Linked DNA regions of Neurospora crassa OR74A. The protein of the gene in region 3 binds, or shares a complex with, the protein of the main gene of each other region. Links are inferred from orthologs where the notes say so. Each region holds a gene or a part of one and is shown on either strand. Other genes may lie near its edges.

Region 1 (6,686 bases), on a different chromosome or scaffold from region 3:
CGCCGCCAACATAGTCTTTGAGGTTGTCTTTCCTGAGGAAGACATCACCACTCAGGATGATGGCGATAGTCAGATCTTGGACATCCTACACGGTGACTATTACCTTTAGCCCTATTCACCACATGAGACGTCAATACTAAGATCATCACAGGGAAACTCTTACGAGTACCAAAGGCCAATACCAAAGCCTTTCCACACCCCGAAATCCTTCAGTACTGGGAGTCATCCATCAGTCCACTCTTCGATAACCCCCAGGAAGACCTAGTACAGCAGTACCTCATTCGTCTAAACAATTCCGTCGTCTCGCAACTCAATGCAATTCTTGAAAATGAAGACGCCCAGCGTAGGGCAGATTTCCAGGGTACCAAGGTGGCCGAGGCCGAGTATGGCATGTTGGTTGAGGATATGAGGAAGAGTTCGTCCCTCTTCACCCTTCTCCGCTTTCCCTCCAGTACTTTTGTCTCTAACTTAAATCCCCCCTCCACAGAATCCCCATTAGACTTCCTTCTAGAATTCAAACCCAAATGGCTCACCCCTTCCCCCTCCGCCCCCTCTACCGCCACGCGCTGCCGTAACTGTGCCCGCGAAGCCTACCGCCTACACAAATCGCTTCGCTCCGCTTCCTCCGACCAAAACTCCTCCTGTGCCCTTAGCCACGAGCCACCGTTCTGCCCCCTCGAGTACCTAGCCGCTCAATCCTCGCCCTGCTCTCTAGCCCGAGTCATCGCATCCATGAACCTTTCTGCCATCTCCGCTTCATTGGACACCAAGCCAGCGACGAGGGAGAATCCCGTTGGTGTGCAACCGGCTGTTTCTCTGGATGGCGAGGACGATGGCAGGCCAGGAATGGACCAAGTAGACGAGCGCTACCGCGTCGCGCTTGTTCACTGGCTGCAAAGCAATTCGTTGCTGCCCAAGCTGCGGGACGCGCAAGAGAGCTTGGACCCGGCGCCGGAGGGGACGAGTGACCAGGAGAAGCTGGCGTTGGCGATGACGTTGAGGGATTGTACCTGTTTTGTGAGAATATCGGAAGACTCGAAGGCAGGCTTGAAGGTGGAAGCCAAGCTGGCGGATTTGGATAAGAAGAATTGGGAGGCTAAGTTGGAGTATTGGAAGGGGATGGATGAGGTGTTGAAAGAGGGGGGGTATTATGAGGGGGTGGAGGTGCCGAGGATCCGGACGAGGTGTTTCATGGAGGTTGGGGCAGGGGAGGCGGCCTGAGAGTTTATGCCATTGATGTTGTCATGGGCTTTCAAGGGAGATGGATGGGCACTTGTAATGGTGATGGTTCGGTGCCGTGCTGGCCTTGAACAACCCTAAATGATGAACGATAAAGCGCCGTTTTTCCTTACCCAACACTAGCAATGCAATTTGTGACACCCTGGCTGTTTAGCACCCATGAACGCCACAACTCCCTTTACTCAACATAATCCGGATCAGATGCCACACGGGAACGCCGCCTCCGAGCTGCCTTCTGCGCTGAACGCTCCTCGACTTCCTTCTAGGGAGCCTTAGCGCTCTCCGCCCTCAGTGCCTCCAGCCGTTTCTGCTTCTTCTCCAACTCCTCCATCATCTGCTTCTTCATCTCATCCACCTTTAGCTTCGCCTCCTTGAGCTTCTGAATCTCCAACTGTTCCGTCTCCCGACTGAACGGCTGCCCGGGTCTATTAACCAGAGGGATCATCGCGCTCCTCTCCAGCACGCCTCCCTCGGACTTTTGTATCACGAACGGCTCCTCTTTTGACTCGTTATTGTTCTTCCCGTCCTTGTTCGTGCTCACACTAGCCCGCGAGTGACTCCTCTCGTGCCCTTTCTTATTTCCGCCCTTGCTGCTGCTCGCCCCGGGCGTGTTCGCACTGGTCGGCGTCGCGGCGCCACTACCGCCGCCGCCGCCGCCGTCTTTCAGTGTTGAAGCCGATGGCGGGAGGGCGCCGGAGATGAGGATATCGTAAAAGGGCTCGTAGGGTTCGTTGAAGATCTGTTCCTCGTATACCCAGGAAATGACCTCGCCGCCGTTGAGGCGCATAGCCTCCTTCTCTTCTTCGGTGCGGCCGAATGGGTGCAGGCGCAGATGGTGATAGAGCGTTTGAGGCTTCTCGGAGGATTCGGGGACGTAGTACAGCTTCATGGTGATTTCGAACTCACCCCAGCCGGTCTCGTGTATTTGGAAGGGTTGGCCTTTGACCCCTTCTACCACTGGACGGAGGGACACGGTTGATTAGCTTAGGTCGAAGGGGATGGAGGGAGGTTTGAGAACCGGAGGTAGGGACGTACTTCGAACATGGTTTGGAATGGACTCGTGAAGCTTAAACTGAACGCGCCGAAGCCAGTACGTAATGTCCACATCGTCGATGCCCTTGATGAAAACGGTCCAGGAGTGCGTGTGATCATCTGGAATGCCGGGTGGTTTGGGGTTGGTCTTTTCGTCGAAGGGCCGTGCTGTTGTTCCGTAAACGAAGGGTCGAAATATTTGAACGCCCTTGACACGCTTGCCTGTAGGTGGTGCCATCTTGTTTGGCGGTGATGGTTATGGATAGGTTGAAGCTGTTCGAAGTGTGGAGATTCGCGCTGTTTCGCGGTGGTTTCGACAGACGCGGTAGGCCAACTGGTAAAGCTATAGCTATAGCGATATAGCTGGGCAAACGCAAGTCGTTTATCAGACCTGAATACGACTAGATGACTGTGTACGGGAGGCGTGATTCTTGAAGAAGTGAAGATGGCGCAAAGAGAACAAAATGATGATTACAGGATTACAAAAGTGCCACCACCAGCAAGGTACCTGCATGAAGGATGGAGAAAAAAGTTGGGTGTGTTCCAGCCTTGAATGCGGGGCAGAGAAGCCCAACTGCTAAGGTTCCCTTTCCCTCCGGGGTTTAGCGGACCCTTGGCGCTGCTAATTTATCGAAAGACATCAGTGCCACCCTTGTAGATGATTGTTCGATAAGGATTTTTCGAGTCTGGATAACGGATCGAGGCTCTCCATGATGCAATCGTCTGGGGTTTCGATTGTTTACTTCTGCGGAGAGAAAATCGGAGAGGAAACCTGGAAGCATAACCTAGTTTGCCGAGAAAGAGTCTGATAAACATAAAAAGAACCTGACCAGCCAATGTGTTTGAGCTACCTATTCTTGAGATAATATCCTTCTTCCCAAGCTCTCACCCTCAAGCAAGCTTCCATCATGTCGTCCGCCGCAAAGAAGCTTATCGTCGCCGGAGGCAACGGTTTCCTCGGCTCCAGGATCTGTCAGGCGGCTGTCCACAGAGGATGGGATGTGACATCAATTAGGTATCATACTCCAACACTATCCTCCATAGCTTATCATTCCACCCTTTACAAATGGATGAACTGACCACCTCTTCTACGTCCAGTCGCTCCGGCCAACCGAACTGGTCTTCCGTATCCGCCTCCCCCTCCGCTCCCTCCTGGTCGACCGCCGTTTCCTGGGAGCGCGCTGACATCTTCCGCCCCGCCGAGTGGATTGCCCTCCTGAACGGTGCTGACTATGTCGTCCATTCTCTGGGCATCCTCCTCGAAGCCGACTACAAGGGCGTCATCTCCGGTCGGGAATCTCCTATTGCAGGCCTCCAGAAGGCCTTCTCGCCCCGTCACACCCCAAACCCGCTCCAGCGTCGTCCCGATGACGAGCTCCGTCCTCCGACCAACGCGAACCAGTTGACCTACGAGATGATGAACCGCGATAGCGCCATCCTGCTCGCCAAGGAGGCCGCTAACAAAGGCGTTAAGGGCTTTGGATACATCTCGGCTGCGGGAGGAGCGCCCGTGTTGCCGAGCAGGTATATCTCAACCAAGAGGGAGGCTGAGGACGTGATCGCGCGGGAGTTTCCCGACATGCGGAGTGTATTCTTCAGGCCGCCATTCATGTACGACAGCTCGCGGCCTGTGACGATGCCGCTGGCGGCGATGACCATGGCGGGAAGTATCTTCAACGGGGCCACAGGAGGAGTGCTATCAGACTTCTTGGGGAGTGCGGGGACGAAGCCTCTCAAGGCAGATCTGGTTGCGGAGGCGGTGGTGGAAGGATTGGACGATACAGCGGTTAAAGGGGCAGTTGAGGTCCCCGAGCTGGAGACTTTGGCGAACAAGGGTTGGAGGAGAACTATGCTTTGAGAGCAAAAAATCGGCTCAAATGGTCTGTATTTTACCTGAATCATAACCTTGGCAATGTATAAAACGATGATGCTTGACATATAAAAACCAATAATCAATCCTTCAACGCCGTTTCCTCTTCGCACGAAGCCCAGAGTTACCCTAAACCATGGTTCCTCTCTCAAAGCTGTCCCTAATCTCTGCCGTGTACTTGTTATAGAACCTCGACAGCTTCTGGTTGAACTGCTTGTTCTTCTCGTTGATGTACGTGACGTCCGCGTCGTCGCCGTTGTTCGCCATGCGCTCCCTCCTTTTCTTAAGGCTGGCCTCCTCGGCCTTGCGCATATCGGCCACCAGTCGATCAACGGCCGCCTTGTCGGGCTTGTGTTGTGCGAACTGCGTCGAGTCTGCCGTGCTAAAGAAGGTGCCGTCCTTGTCAATCGCAATCATCTCTCCATCCTCTGTCTCAACAATCTCCAATGTGCCAGCCGCCGCAGCCTTTTCGATCGCCGCCAACTTTTCGCGCGTGTACCTCTCCAGATCGGGGCCTCCCATGTTGCGCAGTTGCCGCTTGTAGGACTTTTCGGCTTGTTGGTTGTAGTCGCGGAAGGCAGTGTCATCGCGGTGCGCCTCCTTCTTTTTCATGCGCTTGTCCCACCGCTCTGATTCCTCGACCGTCCAGTCCCAAGCCCGCTTGCGCTCAAAGTCGCCCCCGGCATCTTCAATGTCGGCTTTCAGCAGCTTGTGGGAGGCAATCGCGTGGCGACGGCCGAGGGCAGTGAGTTGACTAGGGTCGCTCTGGAGGCGCTGGGATTCTTTGGTGGCTTTTTTGAGATTTTGCTGCGAGGATGACTTGGCGCGGGCTTGGAGGGCACGGAAACGCTCGGCACGCTCGCGAGCTTTGGCGGCCGCAGACTCTGCAGCAGAGGTGGATGTGGGTGGAGTTGACGAGGACTGAGATGTTGCTGCGGTGTCAGGTTGTGCGGTCTCCGAGGCTGATAGAACCGGTGGTGATGAAGATGACGTCGTTGCGAGCGCTGCTTCTGTGACCGATGGCTCCTCCTTGGAATCGGTCACGGTCTGATTATTTGGCTCTGTCGTGGACTCGGCGACGTCGTTTTCTTGTTGAGTGACTTCTGCCTTGTCTTCGGGCTCGGTCTTTCTTTTCTTTTCAGGAGGCATTTTCAATAGACTTCGTTTTGTTGAGATGTGTTGTGTGGGTAAGTAGTTGTGTGGTGTGAAATCCGGATTGTGTCAATGAAGCGGAAAGAAAACAGCCTCTCTGAAGCTGCTGTGCTGTGCCTGGGCTGGTCTGGACGCTAGGGCCAGTGCCTGGCAAGACGGAAAGTGGAATGCTGAGCAAGCCTTTCTACAGCGATTGTATACGATAGAGTGATGCATAAGTGGGCCGTGAGAGCCTGTCTTTTAGGTTTAGCGCCGATCATTACAGGACATTTACTACAGTCAAGTCTGTATATAACGATATGAGGTATAACGATATCGTGTAAATAACGATCAATTTCACTGCCACCGTTCCAGTTGTATAGTGATTTCAGCAGTATAACGATATACAGTCAAGTCTGTATATAACGATATGTGCTTACCCCTTGGATTTGATCGTTGTTCCTAGATCATTACAACCTTTAGTAGTACTAAGTATACTAAGACTGATTCGAATAGGTACTTGGGTACCAAAAAGCAATAGTTAAAGTATAGCCAAAGGATGAGTTGGAAATATTTCCTATATCTACCACCTAATAGGTATAACGATCACTATACAAATTGAGCCTGAATATTAATTGTAATCGCAATACGGAATATATTGTTATACTGCTGAAATCACCATACAACTGGAACGGTGGCAGTGAAATTGATCGTTATTTACATGATATTGTTATACCTTATATCGTTATGTACAGACTTGATTGTATTCCGTATTGCAATTACGATTAATATTCAGGCTCAGTTTGTATGGTGATTGTTATACCTATTAGGTGGTAGATATGGAAATATTCCCAACTCATCCTTTGGCTGTACCTTAACCACTGCTTTTTGGTACCCAAGTACCTGTTCGAGTCAGTCTTGGCGTGCTTGGCACTACTGAAGGTTGCGATAATCTGGGAATAACGATCAAATCCAAGGGGTAAGCACATATCGTTATGTACAGACTTGACTGTAGCGGCTTTCTAGCGCTCCTTCCCCAGATTTTGCAGACAGCGCCAAGAGGGGGGAGTTGAACGTCTCGGCCCGCCTCGTACCTTCTCCGTGCCGTCTTCGACCAGATTGAACTTGCACTCTTGACCATAAAGTACCTTTGTACCTGTTACACAGAACACGGCATCGCAACCAATATGAAAGGAATATTAGGCAGACCGGTCGAGGAGATGAGGAGAAAATGGAAGGCACCGCGGGCGGGTGCAACCGGTCAAGAGGGAAGGAGGGTTTACTTGACTGATTGATGGTTCACCGAGTGCTCTCCTTCTCTCCGTCACCCTCTTGCCCTATGCCCTATGCCGCCAGCTTCGCACATCCAATACTCACCTTGTGTTTCTTCACAGTTCAAGTTGGTGACACAAAG
Region 2 (5,776 bases), on a different chromosome or scaffold from region 3:
GCTTCTCCTGCTGGGTCAGCTCCTTCTTGCCGTCTTTCTTGGTGAGGGAGGTACGGAAGGCAAGGCGGGGCACCTCGAGTTTCTCGAGACGCTCCTGGTAGCGGGCGATGGCGGCCTCGTCGTTGGCCTGGCGAGCGATGTCGAGCTGCTTCTTGAGGTATTCGCGTTGGGCACCAGAGAATTTGGCCTGCAGGGCGTTCTGACGCTTGAGCTTGTCCGAGAGCTCCTGCTCGGTCCACGTACGCTGGACGAGGCGGTTGATGTCATCGATCTTGTCGACAAGGGTCTGTTTGTCTGGGAAGGGGACACCCTCGGCAAGACAGACTTGTTTGTAACGGTTGTACTCGGCCTGTTGAGGGTCTGATTAGAGATGATGACAAGCGAGGAAAGAACAGGCACGCATACCTCTGTAAACTTTCGGTCGGAACATGTGATCAAAGGCCACTCCCTGACGGCTTTACCGTGGGCAGCCTTGACATACATATCGACGACCATTTGGTGACCCTGATGATCTTCCAAGGCATATGCCTTACCGGTAGTGAAACCTGCATTCCGAGCGTTAAACGACATCTCAGCTTAACAAGGGTCTAACGGGAATGATCTTACCCTTAATGAGAGCCATACGGTAGACATCCTGGCGAGTGTCGGGATCGGGACCAATATTCAGGCGAACAAAGCATCCTGTGAGTGCTTCATCAAAGCCGGGGTAGAAAGCAACCTCGGCAAAGCGACTGCGGCCAACACGAACACGCTCAAAGTCCCGAAGCTCAGCAGGCGGGCTTTCTCTGCTCTCTGGCGAACGAGATCTGTGCTTCTTGTTGCTCGGGCCATCCCAGTCCACGTCGCTATCATCACCACGACCGGGGCTGCGTCGGTACGAAGGCGAACGCTTACGACGGTCATTTTCCCGCTCTCGCTGCTCCTTGCGGTTGGAGCGTTCCTCCCGGGCCCGCCGGAGAGAATCCATCTTGTCGTCGGCCTTGGTGCGAGCCCGTGATGTCTTGCGTGACGAATCATCGAGCTCGGCTAGGCTTGCCTTGCGCTTCTTCTCTTGGTTGACCTTCAGCTGGCGAAGCATGCGGTTCTGGCGGATACGTTCATTCTCCTCTCGACGCTCGGCCAGAATCTGTTCCCTCTCGATTTCACGCATGCCCATGATCTGCTCCTTCTCTTCGTAGTCGCGGAAGAGACCGTCGACAGGGTACTGGTTCACCTCATCGTCAACACTACGCCTCGCCGGCGAGGCATCTGAGTCTGAGTCTGATTCGTCCATGGGGGCAGAAGCTTGGGAGTCCGGGGATCCCGGCGGAGAGCTGCCGAAGAGAAGTTGTTTAGCCTTGACCATCATCTTGAGCAGCATGGTGGGCGGGGTGATTGAGAGGAATCAAGAAGGGAAGGAGGCAAGAGGAGGAGCAGAAGGGGTTGATAAAGGCGAGCTGTAGGCTGAGGTCGATGTGGCGCATGGGTGACATGTAGAACGGCAGCCCTAGGGCTACCTGAGAGCTGGGTGAAGGAAAAGAAAGACAAGCACTCACGCCTGGCCCTCGTCCTCCGACTCGTCATCGCTTCTGGCACGTTTCCTTCCCACTGACTTCTTGGCCGTTCCCCTGGTAGACGTATCCTTCTTCCTCGGTTCTGGTGACGGGGAGCGGGAATCGTCCCTGCTCATGTCCATAGCCTCATCTCCGCTGTCATCGGAGGCGTCACCGCCTGCAAGGGCGAGCAACTCGTCGTCGATGTCTGACATGGTCGCTTGTCTGTCACGGGCTGTCGGTTCTTATAAAGCTGCTTCTGTGTGGCTGTAAGCGCTAGGGCTATGCAATGGCTGCTGCGCAAAGCAGGGTTCGATGGAAAACCGTCGGGTGCAGATGGCGAACGCGATGTCGGGATACGTCGAGTGAAGGGCCGAACTGATTCTTCCAAACACTTGTTGGTGGATATGATCGGAACCAACAATGTTCTCCCAATTGTGGGTTAACAATGCGCCAAAATCAAAAAGTCGTTATGCAATCGGGTGGTGTTGAGGCGGCGACGGGAGCGATGAATGAGTGAGGCGACAAGAAAGTCCAAAGCGGGATGAGAGAAAGGTTAGTATAAGTAGAAGGGAGGTGAACTCCTATTGTCCAGCAGTTATCAATAGGAATTCAATGGGGTCTGGTCTAGGCTGATGGTAAGGTAAGTACCTACTTTATGGAACTTGGGCGGCGCGACCTGGAACTCCACCCGCTTGTGCGCGACCTGACGGACAACTTCAACGTCCAGGGGCAGTGCTTGGCGTGACGGGAGTTGGTGAGTGGTGGTGGTGGTCAAGGCGCCCAAAAGTTCCACACCGCCCAAAGGTTAGATCAGGCCCGTTGCCGGCCCGGCAAAAGCCCAATTGAATTGAGTCCCGTCGTCCTTTTGACCCTTGGCTTGACCAACGTCATCGCATGTGCAGGCAGCCCTGTGGAGCACTCAGCGATGGAGCTTCCCGTTCGAGGTCGCCGTGATTTTGTAAGTGGGCCGACTTTCGAGGTCCCGTCTTTCACTCGGCCTCGGCGCATCTCCCCCGAGCTTACTGTACTCCGTCGCAACAACCGCCTCCGGTCCGTGCAACATCAGCTTTCACCAACTCGTCCCAAGTCTTCCTCCAACACGCAAGACCGAAAAGACCGTCACAGCCCATATCATGCTTCGTCCAGCAACCAGGCCAGCCCTCGTGGCCACCAGACAGGTCCGGCAATGCGCCGCGCGCTTCTTCTCCTCCCCCGTCTCGCCTGATACCAGCTCCTCGCATGTCCACAGCCCCTCCACAACCCCCGAGACCAACCCAGCACCACCACCACCAAACTCCAGGTCGTCGACAAGTTCTTCCAAGGGTAAAAAACCCCTCACTGCCGAGCAGCGCGCCTTCCTCTCGTCCGCCCTCCGCGTAAACCAGGCCGGCGAGCTCGCCGCCACCCTCATCTACACGGGCCAGACCCCGCCTCTCGTAACCCGGGACCCCTCGCTGCGCCCGCTCATGAAGCACATGTACGACCAAGAGGCGGCGCATCTGCGCACCTTCAACGACCTGATCTACCGCCACCGCGTACGGCCCACGGCGCTGTACCCGCTTTGGTCCGTCATGGCCACGGGCTTGGGCTGGGGCACCGCCATGCTGGGCAAGGAGGCAGCCATGGCGTGCACCGAGGCGGTAGAGACGGAGATTGGCGGCCATTATAATGCCCAGATCCGTAAGCTGCTGGAGATGGTGAGCGAGTGGGAGGCTGAGGGGTATGAGGTTGGCGCAGAGTTCAGGCATCTGATCAACACGTTGAGGAGGATACGGGATGAGGAGCTGGAGCACCTGGATCATGCGGTTGAACATGATGCGCAGAAGGCGGAGCCGCACTGGTTGTTGACGGGGGTGATTAGGGCGGGGTGCAGAGGTGCCATTTGGGTTAGTGAGAGGGTGTAAGAGGGGGGTTTTCTTTGGGGTCGGTACGTGAAGGGAAAAAAGTTAATTTTGAAGGAGGATTGTGTCGATGAAGATGAGAACGAATTCATGAGGGGACAGGAGCATTAGCATTATGCTCTGCAAAGCACGGATTACAAACCTGTCCGTTTGTACTATTAGCTTATTGGGAGGGTAGGCGACGAAGCGAAAGCACCGATGTGCTGTTTCGACCAGTTCACTCAGTTCTTGAAGCACCTCGACAACAGCACTCATTCACAAATGGCCGCTTTCTCAAGGCATCACTGCTAAGAGCAGAGGTGGCTCATTTTGCTTTAGTGTGGAGTCCATATGAAAATCAGCGCGTGGCGTGGGTAGCTTAGGTCACTAGGAGAGAAGAGGGTTCACTTCGAATTGGTATCTAGGTCACTCTTGTTCTTTGCGCGTCTTTCACAAAGATAAGCATGAGTTGGCAACACTGATGGCTCGACTCATGGGCTACATCACAAGCTCAATATTGCTGAGGCTTTGGTTTCATATCCGGGTACGCTTGTGGCTGCTGCTCGAGTCGGCGGTGAGTGTCACTTTTTTTTTTTTTTTTTTTTTTTTTTTTTTTTTTTTTTTTTTTTTTTGGATGAATTCCCCACATCGACAACGTCAGTGCTTCAGTCATTCTAGGATCATCTCAAGACGCAACGTCAACATGCTGGATTAGTTGGAATGGCCTAATATTTTTGAGGAGGTACGGAGACCGCGATCGAGGAGCTGGATTCTCGTGAGCCTGATTGTCCCAAGCTGGAGGAAAGAAGAGTAAAATAGCATGCTAACCTCATTGGCAAAGCGTCGATGACTTCTGGGGAAAAGACAGCGCAACAAAAGACAACCCGCCAGGGCTGCAATCATCAAGCCATCCTCAAATCACTGAAAGGTTGAAAGAGGGATACCAAGGAGAGCGAAGATAACACCCCATCTCACGGAGGAAGCCATTCGAACAAGGCATATGAGAGTCAAGCTATCCGCATGACACCTCGTAACGAATAATGTGTGCCACACTCACCAGCATCAATCACTATTACTACTCGGGGGGCATCACATTTGATGCGGGACAGAACAGAAGCATAACATCACCTTATATACCTTCGCACTATCGAATGGCCCGTCCGTTTGTCTGGTAAGGATAGGTAGGTAGCGCAATAGAAGAGACATGAAAAAGAAAGTGAAAGTGACCATCACGGTCACAGTGACCAAGCCCACATGGTATTTATCAACCAACTTCATTTACACACACACACACACACACACACACAAAAGCACAAAGGAGACAGGATCATCATATCATGTTCACTTGTCGTTGGGAAAAAAAGAAAAAAATTGAAAAAAAAAATTGAAAAAAAAACCCCCATCCCATGTTCACCATATCACACTCACACCCCTGGACACTCCGGACGTCGTTGGATAGTGGACACTAGGTACGAGTAGTACAGCGGCAACCAAGCCGAAGCCCTTGTCCGATTGGTTAACGATGGCCGTCTGCAAGCGCCGGGAGTTGTGAGTCTTTAAGGGTTTCTGGCCAATCAGGACCTGGATTGGCTAGCGTACCTGGATTGTTTCAGGGCCGCCAGGGGGAAAGGATCACAGTGATGGGTTGGGAGTGGACGGCGCTAGTGCGGAGGCGGAATTGTTTGGGCGGACAGGGGCCATGGAGTTTTATGTGCTGGTACTATCTGGGCCTGACCTCTTTTCTGTGTTTTCTCTTCGTCAATGGACGTTGTTGTTGAATGAAATTGCCTATACACGTGAGACAGTGGAAGCAATGGCGGCGGTAAGGCGCAACGAGAACGGATACCTAAGTGAGGTCAAGTAATATCAAGACAGGCCGCTGGTCGCTGGATGATCACCTAGGTATGTAGTCGGGAAGGCGAGAAACCGTTCTTTGATGTAGTAATGGAAAGACAAAGTGCCGAATGCAACGGTCGGCGACTCGTTGATGGTGATATTTGAGTGAGACAGCATGACCATTGACCAGGTTCAACCAGGCACGCCCAGGCACAGTAAACGCAGGCGAACCTCGGCGTCACATAACGACAGACCCGGATAAATCGACTGTGTGCCCAGATATTTCGGCGGTGTGGGGCCATACAAACTGAGCACCAAGCCAAGCCAAGAAGCCAAGACCCTTGAACTTGGCAATTGGCATTAACTTTGCGCGTAGTCACCTACCCTTCCTCGCCTTCTATTAACGACAACTTAGAGCAACTAATTGGTATTGACTTTGGAGCTCCCGTTGTATTACTCTTTGGCTCTAGGAGTAGTACTTTCCAACGGGCTGTCTCCGACCTTGGCCTCGCGTTTGTCTCTATG
Region 3 (5,545 bases):
CCGGTGTCAACTCTTTGGGGAATATGACCATACTCTGGATCAGGGAGTTGGAAAATTCCCATGTGACTGTTCCCGGTCCGGGTCGAACTGGGAACCTCGTGGTGGTAGCAGTCATACCGGTCTATGGAAGTATGGGTTGAACAAGGTTGTGTGCTGCCCATTACACCAACGGACCACCGCTCGGGTGTGTGGAAGACTGGATGTGGTGGAAGGAAGGCCTGGAACTGGGACTTATAAGGGCAGGAACCACCACCGGTTGGGGCCGCCTGGGCGGATGAGACGGGACGGAAGGGGCGGCCGGCCGGCCGGTCAAAGCAAGGTGTGCCTGCCGGATTGGGCGAACGACGGGTGCCGGGTAGTTGTCAGCTGGAAGAAGAGAACGGCAGCAAACATGTCCAGAGGAGGGAGCGAAAACTTTGGGGCTCGAAGAGGCCTCGGAGAGAATGATTCCACGACCCTTCGGCATGAACACAGATCGGAGTTCAACAGCCAGCACGAGGACACTTCAGGAAAACATCCGGTTCCGCGACGACCACCGTGCAATGACAGATACGCAGTCGCTAAACAAACCGCACAGTCAGCATCCACGCCGGCAATCGAATCAACATACATGTTTCGTCGTGCGATGGTCAAGTTGAGCTGTCCATCTATATTCCCAGCCTGCGACACAACCCTCGGTTTTTCTGCTGTCCCACTCTCCTCTCCTCCCTCCCCAAAAACCCGGGCAGTCTTCACCTCTCAGCCCTCAAGCTCCTTCAAAGCCCTATCAACCATCCTCTTCACCTGCATCCACCTCATCGACAACAGCCCTCTATGACACTCCCTCCCCACTACACCTTCATGTCCCTCCCTCCACTCCAACTTATCCAACCCGTCCCGAATCTTCTTCTCAATAGCATCTGAGCTCCAACGCTTAAGCGCTTGTGCCAGCAATGCATTCAGCTTCGCTTGTTCCTCCAGCGATTCCTCCCACGGGTCTTGGCCGTAGTCGATGAAGGCCCGGAACTTCTTTTCACCTTGCGGCCCTGCGCTGTCTGCGAGAGCGGCAAGGGCGCGAAGTGCGACCTGTGTGCGGTAGCAGCCTGTGGGGTTGCGCGGATCGAGATTGTAGTTGCCTAGGAAGCCGGTTTCCTCGAGGACTTCTTTGGGGGATTTTGGTGGTTGCTGTTGGGACGCTTGTGGCTTGAGGTCTTTTTTGCCTCGTTCGTTGAGTCTTCGAGTTACTTTCCTTGGTGGTTGCTGCTGCTGCTGTTGTTGGGATTGGGAGTGGGTTTGGGCTTGGTCGAGTAAAGGAAGGATGGCATCATCTATGCAGACTTCGTCCCAGACATTTTCGTCAAAGAGAAAGCCATATTCGATCAGGAGGAAATCGTTGGAGTGGTTGCCGTAACAGATGTAAACTTCTTCGCCGGCGGCGTAAGGGCGGGTGGTGGTGATGGTAAAGGCGGTCGGTGAGAAGGCGACTGAGCAGGTTTTCTTGTTGCCTTCCTTCTTCTCGGCTGATGGGTCGTAGGAGGTGTGGTTAAACAAGTCTGCGACTGGTTGCAGGACCATTCTGTCATCTTTATTGAACTTCTTCGTCTTTGGAGTTTCATGGTAGAAGGTGCGGGTGTTGACGAGGAGCCAGGCATAGAGGTAGTCATCTCTTGTTATGCTCTTATTCAGTGTTCCGCAATCTTCCTCTTCCAAGCTCTTGTTCTCTTTCTTGCCAGGCCCTGAAGAGAGGAGCTTAGACTGTTGGACCATGGACCAGTCCTTCTCAAATTTGGCCTCCTGTTTTAGAAGTAACTCCAGCGCCTTTCTGGGCAGAAACTGTCGTAGTCGGTGATCCCATGTTAGAGGCAAATAGTCCCACATATCTTTACGCGAAGGACAGACGGCGTTCCATTGCCGATACTTGGCGGACGGAGAAGGGTCGAAGGCAAGATCGGCGGCTAGGAGGCCGTGGATGGATATGTCCTTAGGCAGGGCACGGGATATGGAAGGGTGGACGGTTTCATACGTCCGGAGGGTGGTAGAGGGAACTGTTAGAATAGTTTCATCTTCCTGATGATATTGTTAGTTGATTTGAACCAATAGTCCAACATGATGAGAATGACTTACCTCGAGTGGCTTTGTAGCCACTATTCCCATACCTCGGCCTGGTATCCGTCTAGGCTCGACGCCGTTGAGGATGATACCTCTATCTTTTGCCCATATGAGCAGTTCTTCGTATGCTTCCATATCGGATGCTTCTATCTGATCTTCTTCTCGGGTGTTCCTCTTCCCAACCTTCTCCTTTGCTGCTGCTTCGCGTTTTCTTTTTGCCATTTTGATCAGATACTGTGTAAACGTGATACAGTTGGGGAGTAACCAAAAGAGTCACGTATTTGCAACAAAACTTAGGTGTAGGAAAATCAATAGGTGAAGGCCAAAGAGTGATAGAAGATGATGTGTATTAAACCAGTGAAGTGTAAGTGAGAGTGAAAACAAAGGCATAAATCCCAGGGTGTCACTGCATCCTGTCAAGCAACCGGCTGAAACCTTCCACCTGTTCCAATTTCTCGCCTACATACCTGTTTCTAGAGACTATGGATCTCGATCAGAGGTCTTGGATGGAAGCTTGATTTCCTCTTTGGGAGTTGTTTGAGCGGGACTGGTTACACTAGCCCTTGCATAGGTCTAAGATGGGGTTCAAGTGGTCGTCAAGAAAGAGTGAACTGAAGTGAAAGTTACGCAATTGTCCTGTGCAACGTATTTTACGGTATTTATCATCCCCCACGGTGAGTTGGCATACCTCGACTTTCACCGAGCAGGAGCTCCCCTCACCTTGAGCTAGAGGTACCGCGGCCCCTACGTAAGTCCTTATCGCTGTCGTTATCGCAGTTGTTACATGCTCGGTTTCCGCATCCGAACGGATCGAACCACCACTTGCAACTTGACAACCACTCGAGCTCTGGAGGAATTGCGCGTTCCTCGTCCATCTCCATCTCTACTCCAACCCTAGGGCTTCCTCCTGGTTGTTCGAATTGCGCTTGACAATGGAAGTGACGGCCCTCAGACGATCCGCGGCTCTAGTAGCTCGCGCCAGCAGCCAGAATGCAATCCGGCCTGCCGTATGCGCCGCCATCAGCAGCACATCACCAACACCACCGACCCAGATCCAGACACAGCAAACAAGACAATTCTCGGCCCTTAACCGCCCACCACCAAACTACCCTGGCCATGTCCCTCTCACCCGCCTCGAGCGCTTCGGCCTCTTCGTCGGCTCAGGCCTCATCTCCCTCGCCGACCCCCTGCGCGGCGGTCCGTTTCGTCCCCGTCCATCTCCCACCACCTAGTCTCCTGTCCAACTAAACTAATCACCCTCTTGATATTCCCACAGACCTAATAGCCTCCTTCGCCGAAGCCACCGCAACGCCCTACTTCATCTACCGCCTGCGCGACGCCATGCTGTCCCACCCCACGGGACGTCGCATCCTGCGCCAACGACCGCGCATCACCTCCCAATCTCTCAACATCCCTTACCTGCGTTCCCTGCCGCCCAACACCGTCGGACGAACCTACATTGACTGGCTCGACCGCGAAGGGGTATCTCCCGATACGCGCTCGGCGGTGCGGTACATCGACGACGAGGAGTGCGCATACGTGATGCAGCGGTACCGCGAGTGCCACGATTTCTACCACGCTTTGACGGGCTTGCCGATCGTCCGGGAGGGCGAGGTGGCGCTGAAGGCGTTTGAGTTTGCGAATACCCTGTTGCCGATGACGGGGTTCAGCGTTTTCGCGGCGTTCACGATGAAGAAGAGCGAGCAGAAGCGGTTTAGGAAGATTTACTTCCCCTGGGCAGTTAAGAATGGACTGCGGGCCAAGGAGGTGATTAACGTCTTTTGGGAGGAGGAGTTGGAGCGGGATGTAAATGATTTGAGGAGGGAGTTGGGCGTGGAACCGCCGCCGGATCTGAGGGAGATCAGGAAGCGGGAGAGGGAAGAGAAGAGGAGGAGAAAGGAGATGGAACGGATGCTGAGCGGGCGCGGGACAGAGGACGTCATCCAGAAGGCGGAGAAGGAAGCTGAAGTGGTGGCGGAACGGGTGAAGGAGATGAGGAATGAGGTGGTTGAGAAGGTTGGCGAGGTTGTCGGGTCTTCGGCTATGAGAGGATAGACGGATCGTGGGGCATCGATGGGGGTATGATGGACCCGATCACCTCTGTGAAACTAATGTAGAACATATTGTATTCCCAGCTTCAGCGAATTTATGACAACGCCTCTTTGACTCCATCTCGTTCGTGCTCCCAAACTTGGATATGGACTATCGTGTCCTCATGTCATTCATAAGAAAGCGATAATCCCATTAAAAACCGTTAGGGCCATAGAACTCCTTCGTTCCCCCTTTCTCCCAGGTATATCACTCTGTCCCAACCCATTGTCCCACCTACAAATCAAACAAATCATCATCATCATCATCCAACCCCCACCCCTTCCTCCTCGTCACTACAATCTTCTCCGCCTCCTTGTTATCCGCCACGGCGTTCAGCAGCTCCTTGAGCTGCTCTTCCGTCACTTTCGAGCGGAGCTGCCCCGTCTGCGCCAGCATCATCAGCCGGTTCTCAATGTCGGTCGCGCGCTCCTCCTTGACGAGTCGGATGCGGCCCAGCCGATCGGCGGCTTCGGGCATGAGGATCTGGTTGAGCATGGCTTTGCGGGCTTCGGCTTCTTGTCTGTTTGTAGGAAAGAAAAGAGGAGGTGCTGTCAGCATTTGCAAAGGGAGAGGTGGGGGCGCGGGACGGGAACATGACGGAGAGGCCGTAACTTACTGTCTAGAAGCTTCCTGACCACCTTGCCCACCGGCGCCAGAGGGACCACCGGCCTTGGGACCACCACCGCCGCCGCCGCCTTGCGCCTTGAGCTGTTCAAGACGGGCCTTCCTGATCTGTCCAAAAGTAAAAGTGTTAGTACCTATAAATCGTGTTGTTACTGTATACAGCCATCAAGGTGTAATTCGTGCGCCGCATCTGTGAATGTCTGTCGATGCTACCATGGGCTGGCGGGAAAATGGAGATGGGATGCGCACCTTCTCGAGCTCAGAGTCATCCATCTTTGACGAGTTGGTTGGATTCGCGGTAGGTTGGCGACTAGCTTAAGGGTTGGAGAAATGGTTCTTGAGTGTTTGAAGTGTGGTAAAGCGCTTGGTTTGCTGTAGGAGGTTTAGGTTGTTGCGATGATGGACGGAAGGGAAGCACGGCGATCGCGGGGTTGCTTGGGGTCTTGAGGGAAGTTTTTAGTGGGGCAGGCATAGCGATAAGTTACGTAGGTAGCGGATCTGATCAGGGTCACAATAGGGGTATTGCAACGGTATTGTTTACACAGCAGCATCTAGAATACCAGTTGCTGGAGGCACCTCGAACACCACAGGGGCAGGATTGGTGACAGACGAAAAGTCAAGACAACGCGGCCAATGCCGGGCAGAAAAGGGGTACACTTGAGCACAGTATTAGACCGGATCTTCATAATGCCATGCTATTCATATGCAAAACTAAAAATATAGGTATGTACAGGATGATCCG

What was found.
Region 1: NCU02157 (region 3) and NCU00360 share a complex: the UniProt entries of both Saccharomyces cerevisiae proteins name them as parts of the multi-subunit COQ enzyme complex. The link is inferred for Neurospora crassa OR74A from reciprocal best matches to the Saccharomyces cerevisiae genes COQ4 and COQ11.
Region 2: NCU02157 (region 3) and NCU03957 share a complex: the UniProt entries of both Saccharomyces cerevisiae proteins name them as parts of the multi-subunit COQ enzyme complex. The link is inferred for Neurospora crassa OR74A from reciprocal best matches to the Saccharomyces cerevisiae genes COQ4 and CAT5.

Annotation. Positions count from the first base shown.
Region 1 is NC_026503.1:3,572,588-3,579,273, forward strand, and holds NCU00360 (NAD dependent epimerase/dehydratase), read left to right. Parts: upstream 1-2,963; 5' UTR 2,964-3,179; coding exon 3,180-3,286; intron 3,287-3,369; coding exon 3,370-4,129; 3' UTR 4,130-4,270; coding exon of another isoform or gene 4,271-5,290; 3' UTR 5,291-5,333; downstream 5,334-6,686. Other genes in the region: NCU00358 (hypothetical protein), read left to right, coding at 1-92, 152-415, 488-1,221; NCU00359 (YEATS family protein), read right to left, coding at 1,502-2,196, 2,275-2,509; NCU00361 (pre-mRNA-splicing factor syf-2), read right to left, coding at 4,271-5,290. UniProt on the Saccharomyces cerevisiae protein: Component of MIOREX complexes, large expressome-like assemblies of ribosomes with factors involved in all the steps of post-transcriptional gene expression. Component of a multi-subunit COQ enzyme complex required for coenzyme Q biosynthesis.
Region 2 is NC_026506.1:2,239,145-2,244,920, forward strand, and holds NCU03957 (COQ7), read left to right. Parts: upstream 1-2,394; 5' UTR 2,395-2,668; coding exon 2,669-3,439; 3' UTR 3,440-3,947; downstream 3,948-5,776. Other genes in the region: NCU03956 (hypothetical protein), read right to left, coding at 1-349, 406-545, 607-1,313, 1,536-1,747. UniProt on the Saccharomyces cerevisiae protein: Catalyzes the hydroxylation of 2-hexaprenyl-3-methyl-6-methoxy-1,4-benzoquinol (DMQH2) during ubiquinone biosynthesis.
Region 3 is NC_026501.1:1,053,938-1,059,482, forward strand, and holds NCU02157 (COQ4), read left to right. Parts: upstream 1-2,890; 5' UTR 2,891-3,020; coding exon 3,021-3,285; intron 3,286-3,364; coding exon 3,365-4,143; 3' UTR 4,144-4,259; downstream 4,260-5,545. Other genes in the region: NCU02158 (hypothetical protein), read right to left, coding at 739-2,046, 2,104-2,310; NCU02156 (dsDNA-binding protein PDCD5), read right to left, coding at 4,414-4,699, 4,796-4,911, 5,053-5,076. UniProt on the Saccharomyces cerevisiae protein: Lyase that catalyzes the C1-decarboxylation of 4-hydroxy-3-methoxy-5-(all-trans-hexaprenyl)benzoic acid into 2-methoxy-6-(all-trans-hexaprenyl)phenol during ubiquinone biosynthesis.